Elephas maximus indicus: one gene and its partner. The protein of the gene in region 2 purifies or fractionates together with the protein of the main gene of each other region. This does not show direct contact. Links are inferred from orthologs where the notes say so. Each region holds a gene or a part of one and is shown on either strand. Other genes may lie near its edges.

Region 1 (3,743 bases), on a different chromosome or scaffold from region 2:
AATCAGAATCTACAGTTTCACAAGATCCCCAGGTAATTCTTATGTATGATAAAATTTTGAGAACCACTACAGTCCTAGCGGTTCTGGTTCTCAGAACTGGTCCCTAACCAGCAGTATTAGCATCGACCCGGGAACTTGTTGGAGATGCAAATTTGCAGCAGCGGTTTGAAACAGAATGAAATAGTTTGAAGCCATAGTTGGAACTGACTTGAAAGCAATGGGTTTTTTACTTCACACTATAGGGTTACTATGAGTTGGAATTGACTCAAGGGCAATGGGTATGGTTTTTGAGTTTTTTTTGGGGGGGGGTGGGGGCTATAATTGTTAGATTTGTTTCTGTCTTCCTGAAGGATAAACCCAAACACCCATTGCTGTTGAGTCAATTCAACTCATAGTGACCCTACAGGACAGAGTAGAACTGCCTCTTAGGATTTCCAAGGTGTAATCTTTACGGAAGCAGACATCTTTATCTTTCTCCTGAGCCGCTGGTGAGTTCGAAAGACTGACCTTTTGCTTAGCAGCCGAGCACTTAACCACTGCGCTACTAGGGCCCCTTTCCTCAAGGATAGAGGATATATTTTACCTATCTGTGAATTTCTCGGGCCTAAATCAGGTCATCATGAGTCAGAATGGACTTAGCAGGTGACTAAGGATAACAACAAAACATGGCCACAGTTTTCAAAATGTAAATGTGAATTGTTTATTTTTAAAGCATCATAAAATTACTTTTTCTTTCATTTTTAGTATCAAAGCCAGTAATCAGTACTTAAAATAAGAAGCAAATTATACTACCAAAAACCACATCTAATTCTATTCCTGTAATTGGCTGTGTGGGAATACCACTTTACCTACCATAATTTAGTTTCTCCATCTGTAGAAGACAGTAACTTCTAATGCCTTTCCTAACTCTAAAAAGGCATCTACCTACCACCATTTATAAATATTAATAGAAAAGTCATTTGGGACAGGGAATTTAAATTTGTCTTCTATGAGCTACTTCACACTGTGTTATTTCTACAAGTTAAATTTAAGAATTTAGTTTACTGCAGAAACTTGGCATGCTTTCGTGGGTTTGGAAGCCCTCTATTCTTATTATAATCCAAGTAGGCCCTTTACGGAGGAGCCCTGGTGGTGCAGTGGTTAAAGAGCCCAGTTGCTAACCGAAAGGTAGGCAGTTTGAACCCACCAGCCACTCTATGTGAGCAAGGATGTGGCAGCTTCCATAAAGATTTACAGCCTTGGAAACCCTACGTGTCAGACCTACTCTGTCCTTTAGGGTTGCTATGAGTCGGAATTGACTCACTGGCTGTGGTTTAGGCACTTTATGACCATTGAAGTTAATAATCAAAATTATAATTTTTGAAAAACTGTTTAGTGTTCAAGAAGATTTTCACTCAATTTAAACAGAATATTAACATTGACTAACTCATCTTTGAGTAATAATTCCATTACAGGTAATGATCATAACAGTATTGTCTAGTTTACATCTTCCATAAAGATTACTTCAACCTAAATATCTAAGTTGCATAAATCTTTAAAAGATGATTAAACCTTTAATTTAATTAATTAAAAGTTAATTAGATGAGCTGTATTAGAAGCTGTATTCGGCGACTTTGGGCACTCTGTGCCAGTAACTGTTCTAGGTGCTGGGACACAGCGATGATCAAAACTGATGAAGGTCCCTGTCCTCGTCGAATCTGCATTCTAACTGGAGGTGGGGGTGCTGGGGCGCGCATTTCCTATCTTGAGGGAGGTACCACCCTACACAGGAGGTGGGCGATACAAACAGCGGACGACAGATAAATTCTCCAACGCGTTACAGTGCGCACTCTGGGGGAAAAAGGAGCGCAGAGGGAGGCAGATCTGGACTGAGCCAGTGAGGGCACGATTCCAAGCAGGGTGCGATCCTGTCTTCCCGTAAGGGCTCACCCCCCGAGCGCAGGGAACCCCAGGGAACAGGACAGGCAGACCCGCTGTCCGGGGGCGCACGTCCTAGGACGCGGGCCGACCTCAGCGGCTCAGGCGCAGCTGCAGCGCGCGAACGTCACCGCGACAGGGGCACGGGGGCACCGGCGAGCCCCCCTCGAGGCCACCCCGCCACCCAGGCACCCAGGCCCCACCGGCAGCGCCCGCCGAGCCCAGAGCTCCCTCGGGCTGCACCCGGGGCTCCACCGCGCGGCGGGGACCACACCTGAAGTTGGACCAGGCGAAGTGCTGGGCGAGCTGGAAGTTGGGGTCCGCCTCGTCCTGGAGGCCTGTCACTCGCCGGACCAGCTCGCGCACTTGTAGCTCCTGCTGTCGCTCCAGGCGGCTCCAAGGCGGCCGAGGCCCGGCCATGCCCTCCCGCCGTCGGCGCCGGAGCCACAGGCTGGGTCTGACGAGGTTACAGTTCCTCTCGCGATAATTGGTGCGGACTCGGCCTCGGGCCTCCGCGAGATTCCGGCTCTCGCGAGAGTCAGCGCTCCCGCCACACGGGGCGCGCGGGGGTCAGAGGTTGTGCGCATGTCGGGGCATGGCTGCCGGATGGTCGGGGGCGGCGTGTGGGTTCCCAGTAGGAGCGCGTGGGTCGGGGGTAGTCGGGGGGCGCTGTGTGGGTTCCCAGCAGGAACGGGTGGGTCGGGGGCGGCGTGTGGGTTCCCAGCAGGAGCGGGTGGGTCGGGGCCGGGGTGCCGGGTGGTCGGGGGCGGCGCGTGGGTTCCCAGTAGGAGCGCGTGGGTCGGGGGTAGTCGGGGGGCGCTGTGTGGGTTCCCAGCAGGAACGGTTGGGTCGGGGGCGGCGTGTGGGTTCCCAGGAGGAGCGCGTGGGTCGAGACCGGGCTGCCGGGTGGTCGGGGGCAACGTGTGGGTTCCCAGTAGGAGCGCGTGGGTCGGGGCCGGGGTGCCAGGTGGTCGGGGTCAACGTGTGGGTTCCCAGCAGGAGTGCGTGGGTCGGGGACGGCGTGTGGGTTCCCAGCAGGAGCGCGTGGGTCGGGGGTGGTCAGGGGGCGGCGTGTGGGTTCCCAGCAGGAGCGCGTGGGTCGGGGGTGGTCGGGGGGCGGTGTGTGGGTTCCCAGTAGGAGCGCGTGGGTCGGGGCCAGGGTGCGGGGTTGGTTGGGGGGCGGCGTGTGGGTTTCCAGTAGGAGCGCGTGGGTCGGGGCCGGGCTGTGGGGTGGTTGGGGGCAGCGTGTGGGTTCCCAGCAGGAGCGCGTGGGTCGGGCCAGGCTGCGAGGTGGTTGGGGGCAGCATGTGGGTTCCCAGTAGGAGCGCGTGTGTCGGGACCGGGCTGCCGGGTGGTCGGGGGACGGCGTGTGGGTTCCCAGTAGGAGCGCCTGGGTCGGCAGTGGTCGGGGGGCGGCGTGTGGGTTTTCCAGTAGGAGCGCATGGGTGAGTCTGAAAGTGTTGGGGGGGGGGCAGTTTTACCCGAAGAGCCCCTGGGTGGTGCAAACGGTTAATGTGCTCAGCTGCGACTGAAAGGTTGCGGGATCAAGTCCCCCCAGAGGCGCCTCAGAAAAGCTTGGCAATCTGTTTTCGAAACCGCAGCCTTTGGAGACCCTGTGGGGCACAGTTACGGTCTGATGCAGGGGGGCGCAGTGAGTTAGCGTTGACCGCAGCCCTTGGAAACCCTGTGGGGTACTGCTGTGCTCTGATGCATGGGGGTGCGGTGAGTTAGAGTTGACCGCAGCCCTTGGAGACCCTGTGGGGTGCAGTTGTACTTTGATGCATGGGGGCGCGGTGAGTTACCGTTGACCGCAGCCCTTGGAGACC
Region 2 (3,743 bases):
AGAGATCTTTCCAAGAAGCTGTTTCCCCGCACACTCTGTCCTCCCAGCGTGCAGCATCCACGCTCCTCCCAGTCACACCCCTCCGCGACTGTGCAACAAGCGTTTGTTTTATCCCGCCCCTTAAACACCCACTTTCTTCAGGAGCTGCTTCACACCCTGCTGTGGGGTTTGTTCTGAGGCCGGTAGCTGCTCCCGCCCTAGGCGAAGCAGCGGCATCCTCCCGTTTGTCGCTCACAACTGTCCTGTGAAGTGGGCATCGGGCCCTCATGTTGCAGAGGAGAACTGAAGCTTGGAGCAGTCGAGTCACATAGGAAGGAAGGGTCGGGCTGAGACCCAAACCCAGTCTTCCTCCCACACCACTCCCTGAGCCACAAGGCACAGCTTTAACTCGAAGCTCTCCTTCCTTGAACTCGTTAAACGAATGTTAACCGAGCACCTACCGGGACAGGTGTGCGAGCCGCCCGAATAAGTGACATGGAGGTGCAGCCCCGACCCTAGGCCGCCCCCGCCCGCCCCGGCCGGTGCAGAGACGCTGGGATCCAGCCCGAGTCCTGGGGCTCATGGAGGGGCGGCGACGCCCGGTGGGCCTCGGCAGGGACGTCAGGAAGCCGCCACGGTGCAGGGATGTCTCGCGGGCGGCTCCCACCACTCACCTGGGGCGCCCACAGCGCCGTTCGATTCAGGGCCCAACGCCGCCGTTCCGAAACCCAGCGCCTAAGTGTCGTCATCAAACTGCGCGTGATGTTACACCCCCAGCCCTGGCCAGGCGGGAAACGCGCTGCTACCCCTTCAGGAACCTGACTTAAAATGCGCGTGCGCAGAGGTAAGGCCTCCTGAGTTTGTGGGCGTCCGCCACGGAATGCGCGTGCGCAATGGGGGCGTTTGAGCCCTATACGCGGGAGCTCGTGCGCCATCTCCCTGGCCAGGAGTGCGCGTGCGCATAAGCAGAGGTCGCTTATTAGGCCCACCGAGGAGCGCCTCCTAGTGGTGAACAGGCACCTAACGATTACATGTGGCGCAGAAGACGTAGCAAGCGTTTATTGAGCGCCTACTATGTGCTCGACACTGGGCTGAGCGCTGATACTCGAACAAGCACGACCAACGCAGTCTAGCCCGGAATCGCCCAGGAGCGGATCCGGGCGGTTCATCTTGGGACCCCCTAGCCGATGCACAATAGGCGCTTAATAAATGCTACGGGGTCGGATGGCGGCACGGACGGAGTCCCGGCCCCCCTGCCCTCGCAGGTTTGGCGGCGGAAACGGCCAGGAGGGGGCGCTGTGGCGCGGAAGGCGGGGCCGAGGCGCGGGCGCCCAGTGCGCGCGCAGTTCCCGCCGCGCTGATGGCGGCGCCGGGCTCCGGGCCGGGGCAGGGGCCGCCGGCGGGGCTGGAGGCAGCCCTGCAGAAGCTGGTGCTGCGGCGAAAGAAGGTGCTGAGCGCCGAGGAGATGGAGCTCTACGAGCTGGCGCAAGCGGCGGGCGGCGCCATCGACCCCGACGTTTTCAAGTGAGCGGGTGCGGGAGGCTTGGCGCTCGGCCGACCCCGGCTCCGCTGGCCTGGAGGAGTCCCGCCCTTAACTGGCGGCCACTGTAGGGATGGGGTCCTGCGGGCGCGCCGAGCAGGCCCGGCCCCGGCTAGTGGGCTCACTGCGCCCGCTTTTTTGTTCTCGCCAGGATCCTGGTCGACCTGCTGAAGCTGAACGTGGCCCCGCTTGCTGTCTTCCAGATGCTCCAGTCCATGTGTGCCGGGCAGAGGCTGGCGAGCGAGCCCGCGGACCCTGCAGCCCTTCCTCTGCCCGCGGCCAGCGTGCCTGAGACTCGAGGTCAGAGCTGGGGCCGCCGGCACAGGGAGAGGGCAGGACGTGCGTAGAGGCTTGGCGCGGAGCGGCCAGACCTTTCTGTTGGTTTTGCTTCTGGAGCCGCAGGGCCCATTGCAAGGGCTTGCTCCGTGATCGCTGCTGCCCTCGAGGGGGCACCTCCAAATCTGGGGTGCTCGGGGAGGGTGCCCCAGGGCAGCCCAAGCAGGCCAGCGCTCCTCTGGACCCTTTGCATCCCCAGCACTCTTCCCGCCTCTTCTCTATACCTTCATTTCACAAACACGGGGGACAAGATGGTTTTGGTCCCTGTCCTCGGGGGGTGGGGCAGGCAGAAGCTTTCCTGGCACCCCCTTGCTCATGCCGCACTCCAGCCCAGGCCCTTCCTAGGGGTCTGGACTGCAGGGTGGGGGCCTACAGTGGCCCCTAGCTTTTCTAGAACATGCAGCACTCCCAGCTTGCGGGGATGCAGAGGTGACTGTGGGGTGCATAGGTGCTGGAACCACAGTGCCTGCTCCAAATCACCCTCCGTGTGTGTCGTTTCTGCCCCCCGTGGCCATTGGAGACTCAATGAGACTCAGTAGAACTTCCCAGGCAAGTGACAGGGGTCCAGGGCTTCCTCCCTGCCCAGAGGCCTGTGGGCACTGCACGGGCGTCCTGGGAAGGGGCTGGTGTCTGGGTGGTGGGAGTGCAGGGCCCTGGGTGCCTGCGCCCGTCCTAACAGGCCCTGGGCACGTGCGCTCCAGCCTCCACACTGACCATGCTCTGTCTGCTCTCTTTGTGTCTCTCTCCGACCTCCAGAGGCCTCCCTTCTCTCTGCCAAGAACAGTAGCCCCCCTGCAAGGCCCTCCTTTCCCGCGGCCTCTCCGGTTCTGCTCCACGGCCCGGCTGCCACGCTCTCGCCTCTCTCTCCGGGGCCCCCTGGTTCCCTCCGGTTCTCTTGCTGCCTGTTCTCTCCTTTTGCAGGTTGCGTTTATTGGCTTATCTCTGGGGGTTGGTGCTCTCATTTCCGTGGAAACGGCTGTGGCCCCAGCCGGCCAGATCAGCCTCAAGCTGCAAGGGCAGTACCACGAGCCAGCCGTGTCACCGTGTAGACACAGAGGGCACGATCTCAAGGTTAGAGATGACCTGCAGAACTTGTAGGCCATGCATTCAGACAGGTGTTAGGGGGAGGGACCTGCACCCCCACACCTCCTAGCTAATCCCGCTAGGTGTTAGCTAGGTGAGACTCCAAGGGATGACAACAGGCAGAGAAGCAGGGAGAGGCCTGAGGACAGCATGGGTGCTGTGGCAAGCACAGCCTTTGGCCTGGACATGCTTCAGCCTCTCGGAAGCTGTCACCTGGACAGGCTCCTAGGCCTCGGGGAACCTCCCGGAGGGTGAGGTGGAGATGCTGGTCCGTCCCCCAATTTCCCTGGCAGTGGTGCATGACTGACTTGTGCTTGCGAGTCCCCTTTCCTGCCTGGTGTCTGAGCCAGGCTACATTCCAGGCCTGGTGGTGTGATGAGACTGGGGTCCTAGAGCCAGGGGGTGGTGAGGGCCTGAGGTCCCCTAGGGTGCTGGTGTTGTGCCTCCCTCATGCCCCTCCCCGCATCCCCACCTCGCTATTGCAGGTGCCACCGGAAACTCAGGGCATGGCTGTCTCCCACACCTCCCTTCTTGAGGCCCTCCCCACAGACCAGCAGCCACCCTCCTGTGCCTCACTGCTCAGGCCCAGGGAGGTGCAGGGAAGGCCGATGATAGGAGCAGGAGTGGGTGGATTGCCAGGCTTCGATGAGGGAGCAGAACATTGCCTTGGGCCAGGGCATCCTACTTCTTGGAGGAGACAGAGTACTTATGCTTTGTAAACCTGGGTGCTGGGCACAGTAGGGAGGCAGGATGGACAAAGAGACAGGGGTGGCAGTGGGGCCAAGTCCAGTCCTGGGCAGCTCTG

The links. The genes of interacting proteins can lie anywhere in the genome.
Region 1: the proteins of mitotic-spindle organizing protein 2B (region 2) and TUBGCP5 purify together in Homo sapiens (affinity purification with mass spectrometry; 3 studies listed by BioGRID and IntAct, counting the BioPlex papers as one, with this or other methods). This does not show direct contact. The link is inferred for Elephas maximus indicus from reciprocal best matches to the Homo sapiens genes MZT2B and TUBGCP5.

What each region holds. Positions count from the first base shown.
Region 1 is NC_064831.1:105,971,222-105,974,964, forward strand, and holds the start of TUBGCP5 (gamma-tubulin complex component 5), read right to left. Parts: upstream 2,388-3,743; 5' UTR 2,338-2,387; coding exon 2,192-2,337; intron 1-2,191. UniProt on the Homo sapiens protein: Component of the gamma-tubulin ring complex (gTuRC) which mediates microtubule nucleation.
Region 2 is NC_064840.1:21,597,628-21,601,370, reverse strand, and holds the start of mitotic-spindle organizing protein 2B, read left to right. Parts: upstream 1-997; 5' UTR 998-1,339; coding exon 1,340-1,503; intron 1,504-1,670; coding exon 1,671-1,819; intron 1,820-2,611; coding exon 2,612-2,776; intron 2,777-3,743. Other genes in the region: SMPD4 (sphingomyelin phosphodiesterase 4), read right to left, coding at 654-728. UniProt on the Homo sapiens protein: Required for the recruitment and the assembly of the gamma-tubulin ring complex (gTuRC) at the centrosome.